Nothobranchius furzeri: one gene and its partner. The protein of the gene in region 2 interacts with the protein of the main gene of each other region in a biochemical or structural test. Links are inferred from orthologs where the notes say so. Each region holds a gene or a part of one and is shown on either strand. Other genes may lie near its edges.

Evidence for each region.
Region 1: the proteins of ran (region 2) and rangrf form a complex in vitro, tested with the Homo sapiens proteins (2 studies listed by BioGRID). The link is inferred for Nothobranchius furzeri from reciprocal best matches to the Homo sapiens genes RAN and RANGRF.

Annotation. Positions count from the first base shown.
Region 1 is NC_091748.1:46,573,105-46,578,844, forward strand, and holds rangrf (ran guanine nucleotide release factor), read right to left. Parts: upstream 3,508-5,740; 5' UTR 3,412-3,507; exon of another isoform or gene 3,404-3,411; intron 3,285-3,403; 5' UTR 3,281-3,284; coding exon 2,696-3,280; 3' UTR 2,129-2,695; downstream 1-2,128. UniProt on the Homo sapiens protein: May regulate the intracellular trafficking of RAN. Promotes guanine nucleotide release from RAN and inhibits binding of new GTP by preventing the binding of the RAN guanine nucleotide exchange factor RCC1.
Region 2 is NC_091741.1:91,735,967-91,742,236, reverse strand, and holds the start of ran (GTP-binding nuclear protein Ran), read right to left. Parts: upstream 3,285-6,270; 5' UTR 2,418-3,284; intron 1,925-2,417; exon of another isoform or gene 1,706-1,924; intron 1,583-1,705; 5' UTR 1,570-1,582; coding exon 1,525-1,569; intron 1,387-1,524; coding exon 1,302-1,386; intron 360-1,301; coding exon 234-359; intron 138-233; coding exon 1-137. Other genes in the region: ndufs8b (NADH:ubiquinone oxidoreductase core subunit S8b), read right to left, coding at 4,419-4,550, 4,673-4,801, 5,057-5,229. UniProt on the Homo sapiens protein: GTPase involved in nucleocytoplasmic transport, participating both to the import and the export from the nucleus of proteins and RNAs. Switches between a cytoplasmic GDP- and a nuclear GTP-bound state by nucleotide exchange and GTP hydrolysis.

The sequences.
Region 1 (5,740 bases), on a different chromosome or scaffold from region 2:
TGCACTGTCACAGACAAAAGTTCTGCCCCAGTGTTCTGTCCTTGTCAGGGAGGAGCGGCGAGAGCCCCCGGGAGATCACGCCTGAGACAAGTGCCTGCTGAGAGCGAGACCAGAGACTGCTGGAGTCGCACGCTGAAGGCGGGACGCCGCCTTTCCCATCCTGGAAATTCCCTCCACGTGACGTTGTGGATCTGGGAGGAGCCCAACTATCTTTTGGGGTCTTTTTGAAGGACATGTTTTAATCTGCTTTTATGGACTCAAACTTTTTAGTTGTATATTTTTAGACGGGGCTTTTATTTAGTTAATAAAAGAGGTTGCAGACAAACTTCTACTCTCTGGTGTCTCTGTCCCTCTGGTTTTGCACCCTCGCTCTCCACCTGTGTCGTTGTGAATCCCTGTGTGATGCTGGAGCGGCAGAGCTCCAGTGTTGCCTAGGTTACACTTACTTCATCTGTATAATGTCTCTTTACTTTTGGTGAATTGTACTGAGTCCAGAATAAAGGCTACTTGGCTGTACAAGATAGAAACAAGGATTACGTTTTGGAAATATATGAAATGTATTTAGCCTGCTAATTTATCTCAAATACTAATAACTACTGCATTTTCCGGACTATAAATCGCACTTTTTTTCATAGTCTGGCCAGTCCTGCTACTACGGAGCGACTTATATAACAAAACATGTAGGCTACACCGTGCTGCTGCGGGCTGGCTCTGACCCAAGAATGAGTTCCCCTGTCCCACTGGGAAGGTTTCAAACACTGCCTTCCTCTGCTGGAGACCGTGGCGCGCTGCTGCGGCGCATTATTCGGTTATTGTTACCGGTACTTGTCTTGCAATGTGAAATGCTTGGTCTCAGATTTTGTAAGAAAAATAAAATTTCCCCCCAAAATACGACTTATGTTTTTTTCTTCATTATACATTTAATGGCTGGTGCGACTCAGGAGCAACTTAATAGTCCTGAAAATACAGTACGTGATAAATAGTGAAAACTTGCTCAAAGCAAAATATATTTTCATTACGGAAATAACTTATAAACTTACCGATTTAATATTTTTTATTCACAGAAAGGTACGTCTCATGAAAAAGCGCCGCAAACCTCCACCTGAACTCCATGCGGTCGATGGGTGTTCCACAGAGTTAGCTCCGGTTGTAGCTAGGTGGCTACATCCGTTAGCTCGGCTCCCACCTCCGCGTTAGCTTTGGGTTAGCTTCAGGTTAGCTTGTAGCTAGTTCGACCGGGTGTCGTCAGTTGATCCCAGCCTTACAGCCCCACCCTTAGCTCCTCCTCTCTTCCCTTTTATGGAATTGTCTGGGCTGGACGGAACCTGTGACACGGTCAAAATGGCGGTGGTGGCCACCTCCCATTTTAGACCAAAAACTTGTTATTGGAGCCTATGGAAAGGAATTGTCCAGTATATATGTCGATGATTCGGACACACCCCTGGTTCCAACCCACAGGAGAGGAGGGAGAGAGGACGTAAACAGCGAGTGGATCACAGGGACTGAACTGATGTTTTTGAGCAAAACTGCGGTAAAAATGGCTGTTTGTCCTCATTATTAAAAGTGTACCCCCACGGTTTAGATGCGGTGCTCATGCAGGTGTCTCTTTCTGTTCCGACGCTGCTACACGTAATAGTTTTAATTCATCAAGCCTACAATTTATTTTTACTCAGTAACAGATATGATTTAAAATGTAGCGAATTACAATTATTTTTTAAAAACTTACTCAAGTAAAAGTACAGATTTTAAAAACGACTCAAAAAGTATAAATATTCAAAAAGCTATTCAATTACAGTAACATGAGTAAATGTAATTCATTACTTTCCACCTCCGGCAGGCTGTCACTAAAAGGCTTTTTAAGTTTGTAAGAAAAAAGGCTGCTAGCTTCTCCATGAATATAACTAAAGAAATACCTGAGTGAACAGAAGAGATGGAAACAAAATGTAAAAATAAGGTTTTCCCTCTAAAAATGCCAAAAATTAGTTTGAAAGATGCAATTTTTGCTCCAATGAGGTGACCCCCCACCCCCAGTTAAATAATTTAGCAAGCAGGAAATGGCCAACCAACGCTTCTCCAGGGCCTGTCCCACCTGAGACGCAGACTTCAGACCTTAGAAACGCAGGCAAAATAATTCATTTGTGATTTATTTAGACAACTTTTAAATATAAAACCTAGAAATGTGGTTAGAACTTTGTACACATTTAAGTACATCTGATATTTGTCAAGTAGGAACAAAGTTTTTTTCTGTTGTTTCACAAAAACAGAATCCCATAAAATAAACTTTATTACCTTACACTAATCTCTGAGCTGTATGGAGCAATATCAGTCTCGGGTCAGCAGGTTTGGGTTGTTTTTCTGCTCTTATAATGACCTCATCAGCATGTTCTTCTGCAGAAGCCTGTTAATCGCCACCTAATTCAAATCAGGTGTGTTGGTGCAAAAAAACATCTAAAAGATGCAGGATGGCAGCAGATGGAGACTGGAGACACGTGCTGTAAAGTCCAATAAGCATGTAAAAGCATAACAAGACTATGACTACATAATATATTTGCTTGTGGCTCTTTTTCATTTCCAAAGGAGAACATGTATTTGGGGCATGAAGACTTCCTCCTGCCTTTTGTTGTGGCAAACCTCTTAGAAAACCCCATAGTCTTATTGGGGCTGAGTGTTGAAGGTCTATAAACACTGAGACGCTCTAGCCGAACAGACCAGGGTCGTGCAGAGTCAGCGTCTGTAGAAGGCTCCGGAAGTCCTGCAGAGTCCACATGTGCGTCTCCACAGCAGAGGCGCTGCTGCTGTCAGGGCGGATGCTCTGTGGGTCATTAAAAGTAATCAGAACCTCTGTGGAGAACTGCGGCAGACGGAACACACCCAAATGAATGGTCACTGTATTCCTCGCCTCTTCGTTGAACTTTGATACACGCTGTGTCCCTGTTAGCATCCAAGCACAACTGCACTCTGCCAGGGCCAGCTCGGGTTTAGGTAGGGCCACCAGACCGGACACTTCAAACGCACCGGGCTCCAAAGCTTTGTTGCAGCCCGCTATGTCCTCAAAGTGGTACCTGGCTGCATTCTGATCGGTCACCTGAGCCTGGTACTCCACTAACTCCACGATCAGGCTCTGGTCCGTGTGGGGGTGGGCGAACACCTCCTGGTTGTCAGGAATCTCCCTCAGCTCGCTGATGTCCGTGGCTAGAGGAGGTATGACCGCTGACAGCGCTCCCCCAAACAGAGGGCGAGCCTGCAGAGAAGCACAGCCTCCTCCGACTGTGCTCTGCATCTTCCTGAAAACAGCAACAAACACGATGACTGCTGGAGAATGCACATACACGTAAAACAGCACTGGTTTACAAAACTATAAATCGGTAAATTGTAAGTGTAAATGCGAAAAAGATAAACATACCAACTTACAACAGTGTTCGTTAAGTTAGCGTGTGCTTCTCAATATGCAGTAGTTCCTGTGACACGTATAACAGGCGCTCTACCGCCACCTACAGACGAGGAGGACAAGAGCTACAGACCTGTACCTTTTGTTTTGTTTAAATCTAATTTATTATAAAGAATTTTATTTAATTTATTTTCTGTTGTAAATATTAATAACTGTTTCATTATCATACTCATAATTTTGTTGTTATTATACACCTATACATTATTAAAATAATAAATATTTTATTTTTAAAATATTTCCCTTATTTATTTTTTGATTATTTAAAAATTTAAGGAAACAAAATAGAAGAATATTGTCTCATGTGAAACATCTGCATCAGTCTGTTCTCCAGCTGTTTTCGTTGACTTCCTGGTCAGCTGATCTAGACAAGAAGGACCGCTAGCATCCAAATATGAGAACAGTGTCTCGGCGTCTGGGACTACCTTTAAAATGAACTGGAAGAATCTGTAAAGTCACTGTAACCTGACTCATATCTGCACGTGTTGCCGAGGCTCTGTGCTGAGGAGTTTATCGGTGGATCTTGTTACAAACAGCAGGTAGGTAGTCACCGGTAGTCACGTTAGCATCTTTAGCTTAGCATAGTTTAGCCTGGTTGGGTGAGTGAAAGGCCTGTTTTATTTGGGTTACTGAATAGCATAGTTTATTCTGACCCGTGTTTTACTCTAATTATTATTGTGTTGTACATTTATGAGATGTGTGTGTTGTAGATAACCGCAACAATCCGCGTTTAAAGCTTCGATTAGACATTAGCTCATTCAGCTAGGTGAAATGCAGTGATTTATTCGTTTTTACTAACTGCTGTATTGCTTGAATCAGTTTCCAATTAAAAAGCTATTTTCAGGTCTAAAATGCTTTATTATCACATGAATGTTTATCAAATTAACATTTGTGTTTCCTGTCTTATCATGAATCTATGCTGCTTCTTTTTTGCTTTAAGTTGTCATTTGTCATTAAGTGTTTGTTTTTCGTGTGACAAAAGTTTATAAATAGATTACATTTAATTCTGTGGTTTGTGTCTTTAAAGTCCCATCCTTTAAATAGGTCAAGTTGTTGAACTTCCTTGTCCAAATCTCAACAGGTCAGACTGGGGTTTTCCTCTTTTCTGTCTCTTCACTACTTCAGATCTGTCCCTTGCTGGTCTCTCCTCTCCACTTTTGGCTGGAGAAAGGCTCTTTTTCCAAACGCAGCTCCAGAGCAAGGACACTGAGAAAACCACAGTGTCAGGCTTAACTGGATTCAATGGTATAAGTCGTCTTGTTAGTGAGAAATGGGGGATGTGCATGAGTAAACGCTCATCCCCCTGATGCATACACATCTGTTAGGATTGCATGTTTTTTTTTGCTCAGTGTCACAGAGGCATTTTATTGAGGTGTGTGTGTGTGTGTGTGTGTGTGTGTGTGTGTGTGTGTGTGTGTGTGTGTGTGTGTGTGTGTGTGTGTGTGTGTGTGTGTGTGTGTGTGTGTGTTTGCTTCGCTTCATTGGCACTCAAAGCACCCAAACCCAAACTCATGGATGTCTCTTTAGAAGAGCAGTGTGGTTTTCACATCTGCTTGGTAGAAAGTTTTGCCCAGCAGGCTGTGATGACATTTCCTTTTGCATTCAGTGAACAGGAGTCTGTTCTCTGTCTGAAGAACTATCAATAAAAAAATAGTTACATTATTCTGAGTTGCATAGGTTGCATTTTTCTGATTATTGAAGGGCTAAAATGTTGGCAAATTCATATGTTTCAGAACTAGGCATAGACTGATATATTGATTGAATGATATAGTTAGCTGATACTTACCAGTTTTTATATGTCAGCATCGGCTGATATTTGTTCACAGTGAAGGTGATTTAAAGTCAGTCACATCTTCGAGCAGCACGATGCTGTTGCAAAATGTTATTTAAATGCATTTTTATGTTCACTAATAACATCTGCATAATAAATACAGAGAATTAACTTTATTTAGGTGTCTGAGTTTAGCATTGAGAAGTGCACAAAGTTAAGATTTAACAGATAGTTAAATTCACATTTCAAAAACTGATTCAGCTTCAGAAATGTTGTGCATCAACCAATGTTATTAGTGACATTTTACCCTGAAAATAAGGTGGAAAATGTCTAGATATTGGCTATAAAATTTGGCCCGTAAAAGTCTGCAGTACACATCAGCTTTCGGCTGACTATGTCTCCCAATGTTTCCCTTACATAGGCTTAGGCGTGGCACTGCATCACAGCTGAAATTCCAGCCTACGAGGCTCCACCCCCACACGGGAGACACACAGAAGTGAAACATCCCATGCTCACACACCCTG
Region 2 (6,270 bases):
GTCTTTGATGTCTACCTTGTTGCCACAGAGGACAATGGGAATGTTCTCACAGACGCGGACCAAGTCACGGTGCCAGTTGGGCACGTTCTTGTAGGTGACTCGAGAGGTGACATCAAACATGATGATAGCACACTGAGCTGTAGGAGGAGCGGGTACATTTGATCAAATGAAGAAGAAAGGTGACACTAAATGCATCCAGCTGCTGGTATCATGATTAAAGATTGAAGAAGCACCTTGAATGTAGTAGCCATCTCTCAGCCCTCCAAACTTCTCCTGACCAGCTGTGTCCCAAACGTTATACTTGATGGGTCCTCTGTTGGTGTGGAACATCAGGGGATGCACTTCTACTCCTAGAGTAGCTAAAAAAAGATGCAGGAGATCAAGAAATTAATCTAAACTCACAGAGAGGGTCAAATGAACTTTAATCCTAGAATTATGATACAAGTTATAAACTAGAAAACAGATCCCAGGTGGCATAGAAATGGTAGCTTAATGCTTCTCATGAATGAATCAAACAGAATGATTTTCCCCAAGGGGATCAATAAAGTACACATTATTCATCATCTTTATGTTGAATGTTTGACATGTTAATATATTTATAATACCGGGAACAGTATTCATCCAGGATCTCCCTTCTCTCCCATTCAATTCTTTTCAATATAAATTAGGACAAAGATGTTATCTACAAGTTTAAACCCTGTATAGTTTCACAAAAAATAATGTTTGACTCATTGTTTTACCGTTTTCCATTTAAAAACATCACCAACCCAAAGCAGCTGTTAGTTGTAGAATTTCAGACATTGCAGAATGACACCAAGTTTGTTAAACTAATATATAAAAAGGTTGGTATTGCTTGATTTTCCATCTACTACAATCAGTTATGTGACTGATGCTGGAAGTCATTTATAGCTAGCTATATGGAGTAACTAGTACTTAGAATTTCTGCATTTTTGCACTCTTTGGGATTACTGAGGACAGTCATTCTTATTTGGCCTATTATTCATAGACTTGATAAGAGAATGGTTTTAAATAACATGGACATGAAATAGTTGTGTTTATCTTTCAACTACAAGAATAATAAAAACCACTTGTTTTATGAAGTAATTTCAACAAACACTAATTTCACAGGAAGACCAGAACTGTGCATTTTACACGTCTGTGTCATAAACTTGTGATGCAGCGATTTTACAATATTTTCTGTAAATGTGATGTTCTAAACATTAGTGGCAAACCTAATTTGGTAAAAACAAACACTGGGTTAGTCTTGTACAGTTTACATTTAACTTTCTCAGGTTACTCACCAACATACTTCTTCTCAAACTCTCCTGTAATGTGTCTCTTCACAAAAGTTGTTTTTCCCGTGCCTCCATCTCCGACCAACACCAGCTGTGAAGAACAGACCAGTTATCTACTGACCGGTTTGTGCTGGTACACCAGTTACCTCAGCTAAAACGCACACATTTTTGCCCTCACGCGCCATAATTAGATCATACTTAACATCATTCTTAAGAAGTAGATTCTTACCTTGAACACCGCCACAGGTACACACTGTCCCATAGAGTCAGCCATGGTTCCAAATATTCTGAAACAAACAAGGCGGGAATCTACCGTTAGTGTTATCTATACGTTGATTTAAGTTAAAGATTCTCAATAACTCAATTTGGCATTCTGGGAATATTGTTCACACGGGGCTTTGAACACGCACCATTCTGTACAGACGAGTTTACAGCTAAGGGATAACTTCTAGCATGTTCTATCCAAGCTAACGTTCCGACATGTTCAAATGCGACGTTATAATTTATGAAAGCTTGCTAACGCATCAACAAACAGCCTCTAACTGCTCTCCGGTGTGCCAAAATATAAAGTAAAACAAAGCTACCGTGCCCCCCAAAAGCCTCAGCACTGGCGGTTACCAACTAGCCTTCAAGCTAACAGGCGTTAGTTTAGTGCGCCATATGATGCCTGAGCGCACTTTTTCAGGTTCGACTGGAACAATCAGACAGTCACAGAAGCTAATGCGTTCCATGTTGCCGTCAATTTCTGGTCTAAACAAGACGCCTTCCGTAAATAACGTTAATTGCGAACAAGAAAAAATTGTGAAAACTCCCTGGCAAATATACACAAATAAGAGTAATAGGAACAAATATCCCAGAACAAAGCCGTGAAATGGAGCATTGCTGTGCTCGCTAGCCTCACAGCTAGCACAGCATGGAAGCCATTCTTCCCCGTTAGCTGGTAGCACAAAAAATGCGACGGCCTTTCCCCCTCAACTGCTGTTAAGGCTGCACATGCAAAACGACCTTAACCCAAAAGAAGAAAATAACCCAAAAAGTTTTGTTTCATTCTTAGTGACTTAAAAACAATCCAAACTTGACATTTAGGAAGGCCCTCAATTGAAGAGGAAACTAGCGACTCACCGGTGTCACTGCGAAGAGAGGAAAGAGTAAATGGCTGCGTTCGCGGCAGATTCAGCGTGGACTATGAGTCACTTTCCGCCCTGGTCACGTGGCCTCCGCAGCGCCAAAAACGCATAAAATATAGAACATGAATCAGCATCCGTCTGATATACCTTCACGATGCGCACTCCGCTGCTTTGTTCTCAAAGCAACACTTCTAGAGATTAAACCGTATATATCATGTTTTTAAAGTGTTGATCAAGACATATGGGCCCGATAAGAAGCCAGCTAGTTTTTGTTGTTCAAAGGTTTCTGCCCTTTTCTGAAAACTTCCAAGGACCTTCGGGGTTATAAATCATAAATTTGACATTTGCACTAAAAGGAGGTTTTGACAGGAGGAGCCTTTCCCAGACACCAGTGTCTTTCTGTACTTCTCTACTTCAGGAACCCCTTTCAGGCTCTCTAAAGATTACGGAGTAATGAAGGGAGGCAGATGCCCGATGATATGTGTTACTTAACTCTATAGACATTTCTGTGTTTATGTCCATGCTTTAACCCCGGCTCTTCCATTGTTTGTTCCTGTAGCAAAGTTAACACGCAGGGTTAAAGAGTGGCCTTTAAAACTCATCTGGTTTAAAAATACATAATCAATTTGTATAATTTCACCCGTAGTTCATACCTTAGTGGAAACTGCAAACCAGAGCTGACAGAAATGGGACCAAGTAATAGGTTCAAATGATTCTGGGCCTGTGTTTTATATTAGATCATGCAGTTAAATAAAACAGATCTAACAAGCTTGAAGAATTTTCCTGAAAAACATGTTATGACTGTTGATGAGGCACAAAAGAAGCAGAGAGAATTAAAACTAATTTGTACTCTTTTTAAATTACATTATTAAACTGCTATGACATTTTTCAAGTTGTGATTGCACTTAAACTAGCTGTTAGCTCATCAATCCTGTTGAATGTTTCAGTCCATTCAGAAAGCTAAATAAAATAGTAATTACTTATATCCTTTATATAAAAATACACTTCAAACTGGTCAAAACAATTCTGTTGAGGTTGAAATCAGAAGCTGCAGGTATGCTTCACTCCCAATTCTCCAACTAATCTAACACCAGCCTAGGTTTAAAATATGGTTTATTTAATTACCCTCAGTTGTTCTGGAGAAGCATTACATTGAAATGTTCAACTTAAAAACAATAAAAAATGTTTTAATGTGTCTGTAAATATCAGTGAGTAAAAACAAATGAATTCAACACATGAACAGTTCAAACTAACCCAATCCTACAACAAAACAAGCCAAACAGTGCCTGACCAACAAGAAAGCTCCCAACCTGTTCTAGCCAATGGCAAAAGAGCTGTAGTATTTAACCCTGGCTGATCCACTGAGTAGAAAACATTCTGTGGATAAGGAATAGTCGAGTCAGTTGGAGACAGGTCAAATCATTACCGCATGAGACCATCATTAGGTTAAAAACTGCCATATATCTAAAATAACGAAAGATAAAGAAAATTTTGCAAAAATGCTTACTAAGTAGAACTCGAGGGAATAGTGAAATGATTTCCAGAAACACATTATAAGGACTAACCAATGTAACCAGACTAAACAGCCGTTTAGCTCAGAGAGACACGCATTACTGAGGATATAAACCTCAGTTAGATGGGAAGCAGCAAGACTGATTCCTGACAACAACAGGATCTAAATGATTTAAGATGTTATTTTTCTAATAAAGGATTAACCAACAGAGCCACCCCCCCCCCCCAGTCATAAATACAAGATGAAAATTTAAGTTACTCAGTTAAGTTTTATGATTTACAGAAAAAGCTCAACAGTGAAGGTGTGCCTATAAAAAAGCTTTTAGAACAACTTTTGTTAGATTTGTTTATTTTTGTTTATGGCCAGTTAATGTATGATTACTGGGCTTGCTTCAAAATGAGCATTTTAACTCCACAACATGTAGCTATTTCTATAATGTACATAAGCATGATGCCAAAATGGTTTGTTTTTACAAGAAGTGGTTTATCTGTACAAATAGTCTGCCTGTATATTGGCTGCTATCTCAGGCTCCCATCGGTCTCCGTTGTTGAGCAGCTTTTCCTTGTTGTAAAGAAGCTCCTCGTGCGTTTCTGTAGAAAACTCAAAGTTTGGACCCTGAGGAGAAGGTTGAGAGAAAAATATCAAACAGCAAATACTGGATAGGAAAAGGTAAGCAGCGATTCTTTTTTGTGGAAGAAGTGTTGCTTTTTGTTTGATGACATTTTCTCTTTTCTCACCTCCACAATAGCATCAACAGGACAGGCTTCCTGGCAGAAACCACAATAGATGCACTTGGTCATGTCGATGTCGTAGCGGGTAGTTCTCCTGCTGCCATCAGCTCGAGTCTCGGCTTCAATGGTGATGGCCTGGGGATGGACACGGGGAGTTCAGACTAAATATCCTGGTGTTTGGGGGAAATTTAGGAACGTTTCACTAATGGAAACATTTATATCTCTGTGTTGGAGAGCATTTACTGGAGTGGACTTTTCTTCTGTTCTTTAATATTATAAACAAACATGTTTCTTTCAAATGATCAAAGTCTGCAAACGTCCTTTTTCTCATACACTACAATGTTTTGGACAATATTTTCCTGACCGTACAACAACTATGCTTCTGCTCACCTGAGCTGGGCAGATGGCCTCACACAGCTTACAGGCGATGCAGCGCTCTTCTCCGCTGGGGTAGCGGCGGAGGGCGTGTTCTCCACGGAAGCGTGGCGACAGCGGGCCCTTCTCAAACGGGTAGTTGATGGTGGCAGGTTCACGAAACAGGTAACTCATGGTCATGGCCAAACCTGAAGGAACATGTCAAAGAATCAATCAGAGATCTCGTCTCGTCTTCCTCCGCTTATCCGGGTCCGGGTCGCGGGGGCAGCATCCCAACTAGGGAGCTCCAGGCCGTCCTCTCCCCGGCCTTGTCCACCAGCTCCTCCGGCAGGACCCCAAGGCGTTCCCGGACCAGATTGGAGATGTAACTTCTCCAACGTGTCCTGGGTCGACCCGGGGGCCTTCTGCCGGCAGGACATGCCCGAAACACCTCCCCAGGGAGGCGTCCAGGAGGCATCCTGACCAGATGCCCAAACCACCTCAACTGGCTCCTTTCGATCCGGAGGAGCATCGGTTCTACTCCGAGTCCCTCCCGAATGTCCGAGCTCCTCACCCTATCTCTAAGGCTGAGCCCGGCCACCCTACGGAGGAAACTCATTTCGGCCGCTTGTATCCGCGATCTCGTTCTTTCGGTCATTACCCAAAGCTCATGACCATAGGTGAGGATTGGGACGTAGATCGACCGGTAAATCGAGAGCCTGGCTTTCTGGCTCAGCTCCTTCTTCCCCACGACAGATCGGCTCAGCGTCCGCATCACTGCAGACGCCGAACCAATCCGCCTGTCGATCTCCCGATCCCTCCTACCCTCACTCGTGAACAAGACCCCGAGATACTTATACTCCTCCACTTGAGGTAGGACCTCTCCCCCGACCCGGAGGTGGCAAGCCACCCTTTTCCGGTCGAGAACCATGGTCTCAGATTTGGAGGTGCTGATCCTCATCCCAGCCGCTTCACATTCGGCCGCGAACCTACCCAGCAAGAGCTGAAGGTCAGAGCTGGATGAAGCTAGGAGGACCACATCATCCGCAAAAAGCAGAGACGAGATTCTCCTGCCACCAAACTCGACACACTCCACACCACGGCTGCGTCTAGAAATTCTGTCCATAAATATGATGAACAGAACCGGTGACAAAGGGCAGCCCTGGCGGAGTCCAACCCTCACTGGGAACAGGTCCGACTTACTACCGGCTATGCGGACCAAACTCACGCTCCTCTGGTAAAGGGACTGA